Lepisosteus oculatus: one gene and its partner. The protein of the gene in region 2 interacts with the protein of the main gene of each other region in a pairwise test. Links are inferred from orthologs where the notes say so. Each region holds a gene or a part of one and is shown on either strand. Other genes may lie near its edges. The genes, in order: nkx3-1 and SAM pointed domain-containing Ets transcription factor.

Region 1 (9,022 bases), on a different chromosome or scaffold from region 2:
GTGGAAGAGCTCAGGGCTTTTATCCTAAGGCAGTAGTGTTCACAGGTTTAGATGATTTGATGTCAAGATTAACATTGAAAGTGATACCACACCTTGTGGTTAGAACCATTTTAAGTGCCCCTTTGTATTAACGTATTGAACCAAACTTGTACGTTTGTCCATAAATATTCTGTTGCCTATGTGGAGGTTAAAAGAACCAACCAAACATAAAATCAGCCAGTACATAAAAAATAGATATTGATGAATAATCACCTAAAAGGGCAAACTTGAATGTTTCTTTTTCTGTAACGTGAGAAGGGTCTGTTTTCAGGATTTGCATTCCTGGGCTGTGTCCAAGCCTTTCTCTTATCTCGTTTCTTACTGCTCCTGTTGAGTGTGCTCTCCATCACTCATTGTTACAGCATGTGCTTTGAGATTGTTTCCTTGAGCCTCACAGTGCAAGTGACCTTCGGAAAGCCTCTCAAAGCGCAGTGAAGGGATGTGATGAGGGGAAGTGTTTCTGTGTTGCACCGATCAGGGTTTGTGTCACTAAAATGATGCTCTACTACAGACAGTAGTATGGAAATTGCCATTTTCTATTAAATTAATGGTGGTGGTAACAGAAGCAAGGGAGTTATGTGATTTTTGTGGATGCTCTTTGCAGACTTTGGGAGAACTTTGTACACCACTGTGCTCTTCAGGTGCCTTTTTAATAACCCTTTTAATCACAATATGAATTAATAAAAGGTGTCATAGTTGATTGGGGTAACAATAGTGCTAAGCTACAGTAGCTTGCTTCTACCAACACCCTACTTTTATTGAGGTAGTTTTGTGCCTCAGCAGTTAGAATGGAAAACAAGAATTCCACTGGATAGCAACAGTAATATATGGTGTGATATTCAATGAACCAGTTCAAACCTGCTAGTTTTATTGTGCACTACTTTCCAAACAACTCAAGTGCTCAAAAGCATCAGTTTCCTAGAGATCCCAGAATTGTCCAGAAAAGCACAAAATGAAGAGGCAACACCAGCATTTGAGGAAAGTTTAAAATCACATCACTAATGAAATTGGATGCAAAGTACATAAATGTGTTCATCTAAGCACCTTGTTCTGGCTATAATATTCAGCGAGAAACTAGATCATGTAAAATACGAGTCGTATAAACTTTCCTCTTCATCTTCTTTCTATCTATACGCACAAAATTTAACATACAGTACATACTGAATGAAACATCCTGCCCCTGACAGCCTGAACAGGTTGCAATAGTTTCTTGTGGATTGGTTTGTTCTGATATTTTCAAGCTATCGACAAAATGATAATACTATGATGTATGTAGGGGTTCTTGAGATACAAGGCACCACCACCTCACCCAGAGTAAATGATAAACCTGCAATACAGGTACCTTGATCTCTATCTTAATAACTCAAACTACAGGATTTGAAAAGGCCCCCATGTTTTTACTTGACTCCCTGTCTGTATCCAGTGTACTGGTGCCAGTTTGTGCATTTCAGCAGAATTTGAATACAGTTGCGATCATTGTTAGCCCACGAACTGAAGAGCTTGTTTCTATTGCCACAATCTCAGATTTAATCCAGCAGGAGTCTCCATCATGAGAGACACATTGAAATGTGTTGCAGGATTTCTCCACATGAAAAGCCTGACCCACATAAGTCACACAGAAAACAGCTACTGTTGGAAAGATTTTATTTGATTTAAATGTAATGTACTGAATAAATAAAAATTAATACAAAATTACACATCGATGTAGAATAGTTACATACTGTCTTCAGAATGAAAGGATTGACGTCAGAAGATTTAAATTAATGCAATACGACTTATATGAATGTCACTATATAATATATATTGAGCAATATTCTCAACACATATCAGAGTTGATGTGTGTTTACAGCAGGAAAACATACAAGAATAATATTGCTATACTGCATATGTACAGTAGCGTGAAGTTTAATTATGCATTTTTCTAATTATGGTTTTCTTAATAGTGCATTATGATCGTTGGTGTTGTGTACATATTAGGCATATGTGAATGTTATTACTCATTTAATTTACTGGTATTAAGCATAAAGGCTAAAGGAAAATGTGTGTCATTTAAATAGAACAAAAGGCAAACAGAAGTGTGCTTGGATTTCTTAACAGAATACGTGTTAGGAGGAAAGGAGTGCTAAAATTAGTATTTCAGGGCAGAATTTGAATACTTAATTTATATGAGATTTACTTTAACGACTTCATAACCAACCTCGCCCCCCCAAGTCCAAAAAGAGAAAAGCTATAAGCAATATACCAATAGGTGAAAAAAGGTTTATTATAAAAAAGAAATAATATTTACATGTTTTTATTTTGTATCACATATATAATATAGAAAACAGCATAACTGAAAAAATATAAATTATTGAGGGCCCGTTTCGGGTTTTCACCACACAGCAGAGTTCCATACGTTTAGCCCATAAAGGCAGGGCTGTTGATCGTGGTAAGTCTTGTACATGGTCGCGAACAGTGACGCTCTTATCAAGTCCTCCTCCGTGCCCAAGCAAGGCAGTCCAGTGGCTCTTTTAAAGGGGTCTTTGCCATATTCGGTAGCCAGCTGTTTCCGTTTGGTTTTGTATCTCCTGTTTTGAAACCAGATTTTGACCTGTGTCTCCGTGAGCCGCAGGCTGTGGGCCAGGTGCGCCCTCTCCGGGGCCGACAGGTACTTCTGGTGGCTGAATTTCTTTTCCAGCTCCAGCACCTGCAAGTGCGTGAACGCCGCCCGGGAGCGCTTCTGCTTACCGCCTGAGCTCCGACTGTCCGCGGACCGGCCGCGGCCACACTCCGGGGAACTGCCACAAGGCGGTCTTTCGTTGCGGTCTGCGGGGACAAAATCATTTGTTCAGCTGTTTTTCGGTTACAACACATCATGCCAACAATGTTCGATTTCCTATAAGAAAGGCAACACAGATTACAGACTTTATTTTTATGAAAGGCTATATCATCCCAAGGCCATTTAAGGTTATAACTTAAGGGTAATGATAATGCATTGTTTTTTTGTTTTCATTTAGGTTATTACAACATACAGTGAAATTAATGGGATAATGACAGTCCTTAAATTGTTATTTTTTAAAAATGTCTGTCATTGATCAGGACTGACTAGATTTAACAGATGTTTCCTGTCGTTTACTAGCTACATTGTAAGAGCGCAGATTTCAGGTAGCCCAACGGACCGATATTCTAGTTTATCGATTATTTTACACCCTGGCATTCACAACAACTTTTACAATAAAAACGTCAAATTGCGCCTTTAGAAATGTAATGCAAACTGTCTAGAATGGTTCTGCGCAAATCCTTCTCCCATCACCCGAGATTTAAAACTTATTTCCCCTTCCTTCCCCACGAAGATGAATTTGTAACCCGTTTAGATCTTCCGTTCGGAAGTTTGCAGAAGACTGTGGAGTTTCCTCACCGTTTCCCACAGCCTTCAAGTCCGTCGAGGTGTTTTTGTCGTGTGAGCCAGTCTCACGAGCATGGCTGAAAGACTCCTGGATGTCTTCGTTTGTGGAATCTGCACACGCAAAAGCCCTTTCGCCAGTGGCGCACCGTGTGTCCCGACCTGCCGAGATGCTGTCGGGGCTTTTATCGCGTTCCCTCGGTTCTTTGGCACAGGCGTACCTTGGGGTGCTCAAGCGTGACTCTTCCTTAAAGGCCAAAATGTCTTGAATAAGAAACGACGTTAACGGTTTAACAGAAGCAGACATTCTGTCAGCCACACAGCAGCTTGGTCCCACAGCAAGAAACAGATTTTGTTCTATGATCAATAGGATCTTAAAACCGTTCTGCAGCTCTTTCCTTTGCGCCTCCTCGATTTATACAGGACTAATCGCAGACGTTGTCGTTCCTTCTCATTGGAAGGTGACTCATAGGGAGAATATCATTGGCTGGGCCGGAGCTAATGACAGAAACAGATCTGCTCAGTTCACACTTTTTTTTACCTGATAAATCACTACGGTGTTTTTATTTCGGATAGTCTATCCTTGCGCAGTGATGACATCTACAGTACTTTTCAATTTCATATGTTAATTGAGTTTCATATGTAGAAAATATGCATTGAACCTTTATTATTATTTATAGACAATCGCTATAAAGTTTTTTAAAAGATTTTCACGGATGTTAGGTCTGTATGTAAGATATGCATAGGATATTTATGATTGTAGGCAATCGTTACGTTTTTAAAATGTTTGAACGAATTTTAGTTTTATGGTAAAAAATACACATAGGACTTTTATGATTGTTTGTGGGCAATCGTTACGTTTTTAAATATTTTAACGGATTTCAGTGTTTTATCGTGATCTTTACGTTTTTTTCACTCACTGCATTTAAAAAAACAAACTGGGCATCCTCGCAGAAATTAAACCATATTAAGCTGCACTTCGCAAATAATAAAAAGAGAAATTTGCACTGATTAACAGTGAATGCGCGTAGCCGTAGCAAATGTTAGGATACGTGAAACATGAAATATTTCAAAATGACAGCATTTTTTTAAAAATTATGTAGTGAAACTGTAACATATTGTATGCACTAGACATGTTCTGCCTCACAATCAGTCGTTAAACGACTTAACGACTAATAATTCTTGCACCTGTACAGTTTGTTCATGAACAATTAAACGACACGAAGACAATTTCCCCATTTGTAATATTATTATTTCTAAATCAGGTTTCCATTTGCGCTGGCAGGTAGGCTTGGGGAAAATAAAAGTATTTTGAATACGCCTGTTAATATATGCGTTTGAAATGTTCAGATTTGACAAAAATCACCGTTTACATTAACGGGAATTTCATGCACAGGACGGATTAAATGCAGCAGAAAAGTAAAGCAATACGAAACTTTTGCTTATCAATGGCAATTAGTATTATTTGGAAAAATAATTTTATGTGAGGACTACAGTACAATACTACATTACTTGAAAAGCATCAATTTGCTTTGGTGGGAAAACTGTTTTTTCTTTCACTCTGTCTACAGAAATGCAATTGGTATTACCTTTGATGCCTTGTGTTGGAGCATTTTATTCAAAATATTTCTAAACTAAAATTATGGCTTTCTACAGCTTCACTGCATAATGACAAAGGATTGAGTAGATCAGACCATGTGCCATATTTGTTCTTATTACTTCTAAAATATAATGCTATATACTGTATATAACTTGTTACAAGTCATAAGGAAATGTTAGGCTATTAAATACCTACACACAGGTACACAGATTGAAGAGTCTGTAGGACTGCAGGACCACTGTGTTGGATTTATGCTTAACCACACGTTAATTGATTTCAGCTTTCTATTTTGAAAATATTTGTAAGTTTTGTAAACCGACTGAATTGGCAATTCAATTAGTATCAACCCAGTTCTGACTTCCGTTTTCAGAACCACCCTCGTTTGGGCACGGTGCCTGAAATGTAAGATATTAGCCCTCTGGAGGAGGCAGAAATCGTGGGCGTGTCTTCTACTGTGTCATTCCCACCTGCGGCTGTTCTTCCTCCGCTGATCAGGAGGCAGGAGCGGTTTTCATGAGAAGCAATGGCCGATGTGGTGACGGAGTGGATGAGGAACGTTTGTGCACTGACATATTTAGAAACCGAAATCCACGAAGTAGGTTATTTTTTACATTCAGTACTGACCAAGGCAATATGTTGAAAAAAAGTATAAACAAGCCCAATTAACCTGAACAGCCCAATTAAATCACCAATTAGCGCTGGAGATATAGAGCTCAGCTGGAATGGAATTCAGAAGACAGTGTTTCTCCAGGACTGGAGCTGGGAAGCCGTTCTGTAGACAATGGACTGTAGGCTTACTCTGTTACATTTGACATATCATTTAATACCAAATAACAGATTGTCTCCAGTTTACATGTTGACCATAGGTTGTGTATAATTGGATGTTAATGACTGATACACCACAACCAATTTAATTTAATAAGAACAAAGACATTTTTAACAAGAGCAAAGCAGTGAACTGCAGGAAGGTGGGTAAGTCTGTTGTGTGTTTTGTCTTTGAGCATTAATTAACCTACACTTAGATGTAACTAGCAAAATAACAGTAGTTTCTGAGGTTATAAACATGAGATAAGATAACGCCTCAAGGTCCTGGTGAGGGTTTAATTCATTGTTCATCCCAGTAAACAGATTACTGAAAAACACTGGTTCCTATGGCTGATACAACATCGTTCTTTCTCGTTAGTGCCATTTATTTTTTTTATTTTTTTTAGCTGTAGTGCTCATTTCAAGTTGCATCATGATGAGCAGTTCCAGAGTTGTGATGCATTTCTGTAGCCTTAGTTTTCACTTCAAGTGGAGCTGAGGATGCTGTTATTAAAGAGTATTGATGCTCATAAAAAAACAAAATGTGCTGAAATAATTTTTGGTATGGTGCCAACTGGCAACATTCAAGTGCAAGCTCCTGTGCGGAGCAGCATATAAGGGCTATTTGATTCTGAATACTGCTACACTGTATTTGGGTCCAGTCCAGAGTCATTTCAGAACCATCCATCTATTTCATTATTTTACAAAATGCTGATAAATGCTTTACCAAAAGATTTCCAGCATAACTATTTCAAATATATACAAACATAACCTAAAAACATATATCATTAATGTTGAGCTAGAATTACTTTCTGCAGTTATTTCTAGTCCATCTTTAATAAAAGTTTATCCTCTTTTAATTTACATTATGTGGTCTCTGGTGCAGAGTCCCCTAGTTGCTCTGAGGTCAGTGGTGTATGGTACATATATTGTGGAAGCACACAGTTTTTTTTTTCTGGTTTTGCATTCTGATATATTTTTACAGTGTTGGTTCTGTCCTCATACACCAGATTACCCAGCTACAGCGGGAGAAATTTCTCCAAAATTCAAAATATGTCAAGAGACATTTCAGTAAGGATTTCATATGGTTTTGCAGATCATTCAAAAATTTCACTTTGTGGGGGAAAAAAAGGCAATGGAACAACAACAACAATAATAATATAGAAACATAGGCATGGATGTTTTTTGGAGGGTGAGCCAGAGGACTCCAGACCAGAGGGTTGTGAGTTCAAATCCAGCTGATGCTATGCCTCCTAGCAAGGTATTTAAAGCAAACCCACCTGGTTTAATCTGAACCATCATTTGAGAAAATATGGTGATTGTAACCTCTTCAAGCTGCTTTGCTTAAAGGCATCAGATATATTAATTCATAAAGATCTTTACCACTTAATGATGTGACCTACAGCTTTGTGTCGTCAACAGAAGGCCTCTGAAAACAGTTGAAACTGGCTCGGAGAAGGAAACTGTGGTGTGTTAATGTCACCCCATCTGTTATACATCCCTCATAAATAGCTCGGCTATCATCATCATCACAAAGTAAAAATGTACAACTCAGTCAAAGTTAGACCCAGAATGTGTCAGATTGGGATTTCTTGTTTTTACTAGCCTGATATTGTATCTGTGGCATTATTTGTGTAGCATAGTTGTTGTTTACTTTTACAGGGCGGAGAATGAAGAATTTTTCTGGGTCAGGGTTAAAGTGAGTAGTTTATTTGTTTTTCAAGATGTTTCTAAATATTTCCAAACTACTAACAATGTCTGGTTAGAACCTGAACCAGTTTAATTATCATCATCATCATAATCTTATGGCATTGCTATTTTGATTTTTATCTGTTTGGGTATTTCTTGATGATGTATTAACCACAAGTCCTGTCTATGTATCTGGTTATGGTACCTTAATAAACACAGAGTCATACCCTTTAGGTCACCCAGGAAGTTTTGTTTCACAGAACAGTCCTATGTGTCATGCAATTCTTTTTTTTTAATCAAGTGATTTGCTGTTTTCTGTACAAGATACCACCCAACACCAACATTGAATATTAACGAAGTCAATGTAGATGCTTCTTAGTGCAGTGTGTATCGCGCTAAAAATTAACTTCTTCTGAATGCCATGTAAGTAAAAAGAACTGATATTTTTGGTTGAAGAAAAAGGAATTATGCAACCCTCCTCCCTCCTACCCTGTGTGTTCAGTAGGAATGAATGAAATGTATTCAATGCTGGCTTGTACAGGACAGTTGTAAGATAAGACTATCTCCCAGATAACAACTCAACACAGCTCTGGATACAGCTCCTGGGACTCTTATCTGTTTGGCTGGTAAACAGCTGTGAAAGATTTATTGTGCAACGGGATAGCTGTAGTATTTTCAGATGTGCCCTGAGTGTCAGAGCACCCTCACCCTGGGTTCTGGGGAGTGAATTAAGTTCCTGTTGAGCAGGGCCCAGAGAGTCTTGCAGTGGTGGAGCTGTCTGGGTGGCCCAGTGGGAGTTTCTTCAGCAATGTGGCCAAATCATTAGCTGTGGTACTTCACCTGACGCACACATTCTGCTCCATTTGTTTGTTTGCTGGCCCGCTGTACTGGACTGACCTCTTTAGGTTTAGGTAGGGAAAGGTCTGGAGCTTCCTCGTCTCCAGTCCCCCTTTACAATAACAGAAGCCCCCAGAAGTTTAAACAGGCAGCACAGACAAAAAGTCTGACCGCTTGGGCTGTGCTTCACTCTTCCTGAACTGCTGCCTCTCTTGTCACTGCTGACCTGGCCCAGTGATGTCTGGGATGTCTGTTTTTTTTTTTGCTTTGCTTTTTCCGTTTATTTCTTGCAATTTTAAGAAACAGCTACAAACAAAAAAGACCATACACAGGCGCTGAGATGCCTAATTAAATCCAAGCACATGTATCTTCCCAGGTCGTTAGAATAAAATGGCACTTCTTCATATGGAGGGTCAGAAGGTTGTGAGAGCAGTTATCATGATCAATATGGAAATTCTTTACCTGCTGTTGCTATACAGGACAGGTGGAGAGCAAGCTACTGTCTAATGTTTGCTTCTGATTTTTATACTTCAAATTAAGTATCTGCACCTTCAAATGAGGTATCTGCACTGCTCGGACTTTCCTATCACAGCCAGCCAGCCACATGGTCCTGGGGCCTTTGTAAATGCTCCTACACACTTTATAGTATGTGCGAGTGTGCTGCTTCATTT
Region 2 (10,537 bases):
GTGCAATAGATTAATTGGCGTGTCCAAATTGTTCTTAGGAGTGTGTACCCTGCGGAAAAAAACCTCTCCCAGCTTGTGAGCTAGTCTACTGGGACAGGTCCCTGGTTGCCACTATCCTTAACAGAAGAAATTGATTTTCTGATGAAAGTGGTTTGGCTTCACGAAAGAACTACATAATTGTTACAATTTAAGAAATTTCAGTGCTGTCTTTCTAGTCTTCAAGAAACCTAGTCTTCAAACACAGCTTGTTAACCAATGTGGTCAGGACTGACACCACATCACTGCACAACAGGTCTGAAGATTCGTCTTACTTACGAGTTGCTCTTCAAGCCAGAAAAACGCATTAGGGGTGTAATTGTGTGGTGAGAGGAGGTGTCATAATTGAAGAGTAAAAACACTGGGAAAACAGAAGATTTCTTAAGTGAAAAGATTTTGACTTATTTAAGGCACAGGCAGTTGGACCACTCAGTGAGGAGCTGGGCAACATTGGTTATCTGTTGTAGAAAAAAACTTTTAATTCTCAAACTGGGAATCTGTGCAAAAAGCTTTAAGAATTTCAATTGCAATGTCACGGACTGGAATGTTTAGGACTGTTTATTACAGTTGTCAGTTTATCTTTCTGCATTAAAGAACCTGTCTCTATCCAGACAATTATATATCCTTTTATGAAAATGATTCTTACAGAAGGTGTGATATGTTTTTTGATATCTGATTAATGATCCTCATACTGATTATTGGTCATGCTTATGGTGAAATAGGTATATTTCATCGTATGAAGAGTATGCAATGATAATGATGTGTATGATTTAAGGTAGCAGATTCTATATATACTGTAGATATCTGAGTGTGCTTTCTTGTTTTACATTTTCCATTATTTAACAGTTACTGTACAAGGCACAGCAATGAAAATCCAACGTCAGTTCCTCAGATTGTTAGAACCCAATGTCCTTTTGTAAAACACTGTTTTTAGGCTACATTACAGAACGATTTTTTAAATATGCTAAGGAATTTTCTAGAAAACAAATGTAATGTTAATGAAAGCACTGTACTCGAGTCTCCCAAAGGCTTGATTGCCGTTCTCAAGAATTACTTGCAAACTCTCAAGTGCTTCGAAATTGTGATCTAGAGCACAAAGTGATGCAAAAGCAACTTGGTACATTGAAATTCAGGCGGAAAGATTTAAGTCTGTTTATGCAAGGCCACTGCCTTTATGATGCCCACTTTGATGTGATCATGAGGTGTCACATTGTTGCAAAGGCTTTAACCTTAATTGTACTCAAATTCAACATGTTTTTTTTGCAGGAGAAAACTTCCTCTCCTCTGCCTGTTCTCGCCTGCGTCACTGGACGCGAAACGTCAGTTCCCCAGCGGTGGCTGATAAGGTCTGTTTGCAGATGGTGGAAGAGCCCTGCGAGCTGTTACGCACACACACGTGTGGAAACAGCTGCACTGTGGGACCGGGGGATCCACCCTCTGGCTGGAAAGACCATCAGGAACACCTGACGATTCACAAGGAGCTGGGCTCCCTGGTGAATCAACCTCTGCACACAAAGCACCCCCAGCAGGCTGGCTTTCTTACTGCAGAGCAAAATGAGCTCCACTTCCTTCTGTCTCCAAACTGAGTTGCAACTCAGAAAGTGGGCTTAACCCAATAAAATATGAAATATTCAATTGACCACCCTTCTCAGGTGGTTAAGTGGAACCACAAGTTCATAACTTCTAACTTTAATCCTAATTCCCCATAACAAAACTGTATACATATTTTTAGATGTAATATTTCAAAGTCTTTAGCTTTTTATTGAATTCAGTGACACACTTAACAGGATACTTAGCAAGGCTCTAGTGTGGATACATCTCCAGAGAGTGTCCAATTCGTAAACTGCATTTAACCAGATAAATGATCTATTCCTCTTTTCTGGATTTGTTTCATCTCTGCCTGGAGCTGCATCTCTGCTGATCTAGTTGCTTTTTTGGTGAAGTGGGAAACAATTGTTCTGAAGGTGATTGCATTTGTTTTTAGGCTTTTGTTTTTCCTGTAAATCATGCAAACATTAAACTCTATAAAAGACCGATATACTGTACTGGTGTGTATTCAACAACCTCTATGTGTAGCAATTCTATCCTGATCAGAATATCAAAAAATAAGATGCATGTACAGTATAATAGGATATATTTAGGATCTAACAGGACAATAAACTGAAGTTCCAAACTTTATATAGCCAGGTCTAGGCTTGCATATGAAGGGTGAAAGATTGATGGATGGATAATCTCTCAGTTAAATTGGATTCCAAAGTGAAATTGGCACTCATTTGGGCAGGATAAGAGTTTTTAAATCTTTGTGATTAGTGCAATCCTTCAGCTCTAGGTTGCATTAGGGACTGGCTTAACTGCTTTGACTCAACTTTGAAGGACAGCTCCCAGACAAAGATTTAGGAGGGCTAGAGGCTTTATTGGAGAAAGCAGAAAAACCACACAATTATATGTTACTAAACCATAAAATTGTGTACTCCTCTACCTTTTCAAAACTGTAGAGGACTACACAGCGGCACGCTGTTAAAACCACAGAAGAAACTATTTTGCTCAGACTGAGACGTCACAAAACCGTTTTTTGGTTTTGCTTCATTAAGAAAAGATATGGCTGAGATCAAGCCTAAAATATAGTGTGTGGTGCTCATTGTGTCATTGTCATTACAGATCCATTATAATAAATAAATTAGTTCTTATTATAAGCACAACGCAAAATTAGGTTTAGGGCAGAAAGACTTGGTTTAGTCCAAGATATTCTGATACAGGGATGTTTTGGCAACAATCAACATGTTATCAAACAGTACTTGTTCATTTCTGCTAGGAGACTTACAGTATGATATAATGCACATAAGGGCATATTTTAGACTCATGATGGTAAAAAAAAGTTGCATAGTGCAAAAAAGCAAAAAAAAGGGTACAGTGGCATAGTGTCATTGTAAATGTATAGTAGTGATATAACATAGTACAGAAGATATTACTAGTCCACAATGTGTATGGCAACTATGTTCCTGAGTTGGTTTTCAGTCTACCTGCCATTTCTTTAAATAGTGTAATGTCACTGTATCACAGAGCCTAATTGTTTCAATTATACAGATTATTCCTTTCAATTCAGCTTGATAAAAATGTGAAGACAAGTTATTATATACAGTTTGTATGGTCTTGCAAAACCTGACCAAAAGGTACAATAGGACCCAGTTATAGTTTATGATTTTTAGCAAAACCTTTCCTCCCATGCCCTCAACAGGAGTGCATATTCCACATGTGTGAAACAGAATCTCAGACAGCGCTTCTCAAATTCATGAACTTCACAGATGGTGCACAGTTGGATTGGAAGAGACAATAAACAGCACAAATATTCAGAAAGTGGTATGAAACATACTAAGCAAAATGTGGGAATAAATTCTAATTTACATGTTTGTGTGTTTAGAGAAAATTATAAAAAAAAAATTCCCTGAGGGAAATTGCATTTCTTATTCATGGGTTTCCCCATTCTTACTATTTTTCTTTCAAAAGAAGCCTCTAGTGTTTCAGTGTCACCTGCTTCGACAGGAACTAATTAGAGCAAAGTAGAAAGGTACTGTTGAATGTTTGTCCTTGGTTTCAAACACTTTCAAAATGAAAAGCGGAAAAGTTGGTTACAGACTTGTTTCTTCTCATTTACAGTACGTGTTCAACTCCTGTGTCCCGGAGTCATGTGAATGCAATGCAGGCTCACTGGTTTGCTCATAGAGTTAGGTCATCCAGTAAGTCATTAGGGATATAATTTAATTCCCTTAAAGTGCTCCCATTTCCAAGTGAACCTGATCACTTTGACACTTTTGGCCAATTAATCTTGTTTTGTAAAGCATGTTAGTAATGTCACCCCTATAAACAGACTGTGTATAAAGAAACAGTGCTCTTTCTTACCATGCAACGGGAAGAGCTTCGCAGATCAGTCGCTCTTGGGGAGCTGAAGTCCTCTGTCTCTTTCAATTTGCAGAAACGGGATGCTCTTGCCTCCAGTCCAGAAATGGTCCAGTCAATGGCTTGACTGCTCTGACAGCCCTCTACCCGGAGTCTCAAAAAAAAAGCATCCAAACACAGCAGAGAGCGCCTGAGGTCTCGCACGCAGGTGATGGGAGGGGAACAGGTGTGCTGGACGGATCAGAACGCGTCAGTGGCCCAGTTCGGTCTTCTCCTGGTTCGGGGGGGGGGGATCGTATACATTCGGCTTCCTCTTACAGCTTACAGTGCTCCCCTTACTGTGAGCAGCTCCTGGCCTGGAGTGCGAGGCAAAGGCAGGCAGCTCTACAGGTTAGGTCTAAGAAGGGGCATGCCTGTGAGTGCGTGGGCGAGCTGGCGGGCTGGTGGGCGAGTTCCAGTCAGCTAGCCCCGTCTCCCATCGGCCAGTGTGCCTGAGAGTGAAGCAATGCCTGCTCCATGGACTCAGCTCCTATTTATAGAGAGACCTTATTTACCTGAGTAAACAGCCTGTGTGTGCCTACCTCAGTCGGAGGTATTTAAATATCTCGGAGAGGGCTCTCTTTCCCCCTTAAGGAAGAAACGAAACTTTTGTTTCCTTCTTATTATTTAACCCTTTGTTGGCCACAGCTGCAGGCTGGGAGAGTGAGGGGAGGAGGGCTCTGTGTGCTGAGAAATGAGTTCACAAGCTGCTGGGAATAGATGGCTCAGATGGAAGTTTCCTCCCTGGTTCACAAGGGCACTGCTGCTGCAGCTTGGTTATTTTTCTGAGCTCATCTCTCCCATTCCCCCCTTCTCGTTTCTGCTTCATATTACAATCGCTATTACAATTCTCAGATTACAAGATTACAAGATTTAGGGGTCTGCAGAACTCAGGCTCAGGAGTAAAATAATGGCTATCCAATTCGATTGATGTTATTTTCCCACAAGAGGTGTAGCTTTGATTCTCGGCTGAGTAGTTGTCAAATTTACAGCTTGGCACGCACTGGAAAAATAAAATTTCCTAAAATATCTCCTAATATCTGTTTGGTCCTACATGCTAGAAGGCAAAACAGAAGTATTCACCCACAATTTGTAATGCCCTGTAATAGGATGTGGAGTTATTTAAACACAAAGGCTTTTTGCTAACTGACTCTTTTGTAAATATGATTATATTTTCTGGTCTGCGGGATAGAGATCTTGAGTGTACTACATAATTTGAATAGTTTTAAATAGTTTTTTAACATGTTTTGTCAGCCTTTTTATTTCTGAAAGGGTGTGTTACTATTATTGAGGCTTAAATTGTTTTAAATATATAACTTATAAAGGAATGTTAAGAGATGGTGTGGTCAGTAAAAAAACGTAATCGCACATGCATTGTGATTGTGGATCTAGAATTCCACTACATTGTTTACCAATGTGAAATGACGTGTACGTAACACAATGCCAAGCATAAAATGGAGTAAATACAGCTTAGCAGATAGTATGGCCTTGTACATCACACAGATGCACATGAATAGATTCAATAGTGGGTTTAGACAGATGGAGCAAAAACTGAACAGTTGTGTTTGGCATTGTAATGTAGCAGAGTTGTTTCATATGTACTGTATATTTTTTAAATATGCCCTTCTAAATACCTAGGTAAAATCACAGTAAGGTGTAGTAAAATACAGCAAGATCAGCGCAAAAGTGTGAAAACATGGTAAGATCATGGATAGGTGATCTGTGGGAAATCTGTTCAAAGTGTATAGGAAATCTGCAAAAATCCTGGGCAGATTCATAATAAAATAAGAAGAGTAAAGAGTTAACTGCTCTGAGAATCTGATATAGCTGTTTCTTGAAATAAAAACATTAGCATTAGCAGAGTATTAGCAGCAGCTGCATGGCAGTGAAGCTTCTAGAACTCCACAGTCCTTTCTGTAAAGGGCTGCTCTCAGTTTCAGACGCACTTCCATTTACTTTCCAATTTGTCCTCTGCCTCCTGTCGCACTGCTCATTCTGAAAAGTAATCCACTGGGTACACTGTGTCAGGGCCTTTGAGGGCCTTTTTGAATACTTGTATCGGGTCCCCTCATAGTCTTCTGTGTTCAAGTACAAAAACGGTTAATTTCCTTCAGATTGTCAGTGTTGGACTCTCAGTTCAGACTAAAGAGACTCCGTTTCTTCAGTCTGTCAGTTTGGGACACTCCCTTAAGCCCCAGAATGTATCTGGTTGCAATCTAGACTGACTCCAGAGCAGCGATATCTTTTTATAATGTGGTGATAGAAAATGTAGAATTATATTGTAAATGAGATCTTACTAGTGCAGTGTACAATTTCAACATCCCTTGATATAAACTGCACATTTAATAAGAACACAAGATTCACCATGGTACAGTAGAGGTCTGTTATCACCATTTCTCAGCCCCTATTCTACAATCGGTTTTATAGAAGGGTATGAAGGATATTCTTGACTACATATTTAACAATCATATGAATCAATTAAAAGATGTTAATTTTAAGTTTTCTGCAGGAGCCAGTTTTGTGTTGTGCACTGCACTGAGCCTTGTTCCTTAAATGGTGGTGTTCACATCAACTCGATGTTATGCCAACTAAAATACAGTGCACTCTAGAAGAATGTGGACAGTGATGTCTAAACTGGAATTTTCATTATAAACCCTAGCAGTCATTTATCACGAAAAAATATAACTGGTAAGTACGACTTTTATTTATATATATAATTTTTCCTTAATTTGATTTAGTTCAGTTCAATCATCTTTGGTCAATGAAAATGATATTCTGAAGGAGAAAATGTATAGCAATAATTGGCTGACTGGAGTTTATTTATGACAGTCAGCTGTTAATTGGTGGATAATTAGGAACTCACAAAGGAGCTGTGAACCTGACTGCCAGCTTGACTTTACTTTGGCTTCAGCGATTAGCTACAGAGTCTGTAGTCACAACTTAATAATAATTTAAAAAAATAACCAAAGAGCTTTCTCTTAAAAGCTGGCAATTATGAAGCGGGGAGAAAACAGAACTAAGTCTGAACCACGACACAGACATTGGCCAAACAAAAAACAAGAATTTGAAACTTTCCAAAGACAAAACGAAACCACGGCTATTATTACTATATACCGAAAGGACTGAGTCAGCCAAGGAAAACATCTGCAGACGATGACAGATAAACTAGCAGAGCTGTCAAGGAAAACAAGAAAACCTCTGTCAGTGAAATCTGCAACAGTCTCTGGAGTGAATGGGTGAAAGTGTCAGAACCCACAGTTCACAGAAGACTTAGCAGATTTACAAAGGCTGCACTGCAAGATGTAGACCTTTCATCAGCTCCAGGAACAGAAGAGGCAGACTGGACATTGTTCAGAAGGAAAACAAAGAGCTGGGAGAGTTCTGGAACAATGTTGTAGGGTCAGATAAGATCGAGATAAACCTCTACCGAAGTGATGGAAGATTTACAGTACAGTGAAATAAAACTGCAAATACTTTACAGGACCCCATCTGTAAAGCATGGTGGAGGCAGTGTCATGGCTCTGGAACTGATCTTTATTGATGATACACTATAAGTAATGAAGGCAGCAGCAAAATGAATTTGGTAGTTTGCTGAAATATTTTGTAGAAGAAACTGCTGCCATACTCATGGGACAAAAAGGAAGAAAATGTGAATGTGGAATACCTAAAATTAGCCAAGATTTCAATCAAATGGAGCAGACATGCAGAAAAAATAAAGTCAGAATGCTCCATGATCAAGAATAGGCCAATTATCAATGTGACTGCAGCAAACTCTCTCAAATGGTTATACACAAAGGATTTGGGGAGCTCAACATCTCTTGGGCATCGTGCAGCTATTGGCTCAATAGGATATGCAACTAAATATTTCACTCTATGAACTTAACTTAATTTGAGTGTCCCCCAAAACTTTGGCTTGAGCTCAAAGTATGCTTTTGTTCCAATTTGTATACTTGTAATTAACCAAAATAAAAGGTATATAATATTTAGAATTCATATAAATCTCACGATCTTTTCAAAGATGATATTTTCAGATTTTCAAGTCAGCAGAAGGAGAGTACAACACATGTAGCACCATGAGCCCTTTTCTACAGCACCTCTACACAAGACGTTGTGTTTCTTTTCTTCTCTTTTCAGCATGGAATAAACCTTTACTTGTTCCCTTGAAGCCTAGGCATGCTGACGCAGCTCCCCACTTGAACCTGTTCTTAAGCAGACTCTACTGTAAATCTATCAGGATGCTAAATAAGAAGTTATTATTTGTTCTGTAGTACATTAGTAGCTGTGATTTGTGGTAAAAGTAGCATCATTACATTCTCATAATGACCATGGCTACTGTACATAGTAGACAGTGCTCCTGAGATTTTCCAGTTTTTGTTATTGTTATTCCCTGATTAAACTGAAATTGGTTAAATGTTGTTTGCTATTCATTTGAAAAGCAGTATATTCATCTTGTGTTTGCCATACAATAGAAAACGTTTTCTTCTCTTTGCCTTCTACTGGAGTGACAGGAGTTAAATATTATCATGGAACAGGTGATTACTATGATGACAAATCAGGGTGTGTGCTGCAGGAATTGTGAACTATCTGACACAGAAGAGGGAAAGACCAGTTTTGAAGCTCAAGTTCCAAGCAATTACGTTGTATTTTGGCCCTAATGTAGAAAGTAATATGCAAATGTCCCCATGAACTTGTGCTCCTACTGTTATTTGTGCTTTGTTACCCTGATTGAATCACACTGAATATCTGCACACTAGTCCTGTCAGTGATCAGACCCCATGGTCACTGGGATTAATCTAGAAATCCGTCATAATCTGTGCAATTTAGGGCTGTACGTCTTAATCAATACAAGATAAAGGAAATTAAAATTAAAATGTCACTCATTTAATGTGTGAAGCTTATGCCATATATGTCTTAATTGATTTGTGTTTACCAATTAAGGGCAATACAAAGTCTTGCAAAGGAAGAGAGCAAACACGGCAATACAGCGACCGAATAATTACAGACGACAAATAGCGATACAATGATATTTACACAGTGCCTGGATATTTCGTCTCTGGATGTGTTTATATATACAATGTATCCATATAATAAATACGCTAAGATTAGATTCAAACGATTCTGATAAATAACTTTGCCACCGACGCACTGTAGAACAAGTACCAAACAGCTATATCACCACACATTGCAGTTAATTAAAACCCCCTAAATTGCTATGTATTCATATATTAAAGCTTGCTTTTATTGAGAGTTATATTTGATTATCACATTTCAGGGCTACACAGTTGTGCAGTGGTTATCATTGTTGCCTTGCAGTGCTGGGACCTGGGTTCAATTAGTGGGGACTCACTGCACGGAGTTTCTGTATTCTCACTGTGTTTCCATGGTTTCCTTCTGGTGCTCTAGTTTCTTCCTACAGTCCAAAGATGTACTGGTACTGTTGGTGAATTGGCTTCTGGGAAAACTGGCCCTGTTGTGAACGTGTGTGTGTGTGTCAGCCCTGTGATGGACTGGTGTCTCATCCAGGGAATATCCTGCCTTGTTCCTGTTGCTTGCTGGGCTCTGGCTCCCCTGTGACCCTGACTTGAATGGAGCTCTTAGAAACTAGATAGATTTCAGCATTTCAGTTTTAACTACACTTTCAAATGAAATCCATTTTCCTGAATTAATGTGCACCTTCAAGACCCCTGGGGACAACGTACATACTGTGTACAGTAATTAAGCTACACTATCCAGTGTGCCTGTGGTGTGATGTTAACTTAATGAGTTAATCTCCTGCAGTGTAGTAGGTCAAGGAAGAAAGCAGTTTTACTTTTTCAAGAGAGAATGAATTCCTGCTGCCAGCTTTTACATCTTTTATGTTTCATTGCATTAGGAATATGATCTCCCGAGTCTGAGGAGTTTTTTCTCCGTTATTCAGAAATACACATTCACTTTAAATATCATTTGCATGATGTGACTGTAACTCTGATTGCAGCGCAACCTCCAAATTTGCTAAACAAATGTGTGGAAAGGAGCGGGTACGTGAGTGATTTTGGCTTGCGCTTGGAAAGCAAGCTTTTTGTGTGTGTGTGAACCACATTTCAAAGCTTCTGAAACAATTGCTCATGTAGACCCGATGAGATTAGGTCCGGGAAAAGCTTGCAAAGGTTTGGTACTGATATATTGATAGAGCTGACAAGGTTGCCAACGGAGTATTTTGTAAGCAACCTTTTGATGACGGGAGAGAGAGATATGTAGGGCGGTGTGATCTAACACAGTTAGTTTTCCCATAATTTGGACTAAGATTTTAAAGGGTTTTGGAGTGCCAAACATGGAGAGACCCAGAGTGGAGATATGCCAGGGGAACGAGTTAATGTTCAACTGCGTTTGATTTGGAACTGAAAGCATTCCTGTCAACAGGTCTTAGCTGCACCTTGGCTAAGCAAGGGTGCCAGCCAGCTCCACTGTACCAGATCACCAAGCAGGGTTTGGGCTCCTAGTTTTATTACCTGGAAAAAATGGTCTTTCTTTCATCGCTCTGATACAGGTGACTGTTTTCTTGGATGAAGTATATTTTCTTAACAATTAA

The links.
Region 1: the proteins of SAM pointed domain-containing Ets transcription factor (region 2) and nkx3-1 interact in a two-hybrid assay, tested with the Homo sapiens proteins (2 studies listed by BioGRID). The link is inferred for Lepisosteus oculatus from reciprocal best matches to the Homo sapiens genes SPDEF and NKX3-1.

Annotation. Positions count from the first base shown.
Region 1 is NC_090697.1:72,162,082-72,171,103, reverse strand, and holds nkx3-1 (homeobox protein Nkx-3.1), read right to left. Parts: upstream 3,821-9,022; 5' UTR 3,729-3,820; coding exon 3,437-3,728; intron 2,845-3,436; coding exon 2,411-2,844; 3' UTR 2,285-2,410; downstream 1-2,284.
Region 2 is NC_090700.1:29,765,688-29,776,224, forward strand, and holds the start of SAM pointed domain-containing Ets transcription factor, read right to left. Parts: upstream 4,419-10,537; 5' UTR 3,934-4,418; intron 1-3,933. UniProt on the Homo sapiens protein: May function as an androgen-independent transactivator of the prostate-specific antigen (PSA) promoter. Binds to 5'-GGAT-3' DNA sequences. May play a role in the regulation of the prostate gland and/or prostate cancer development.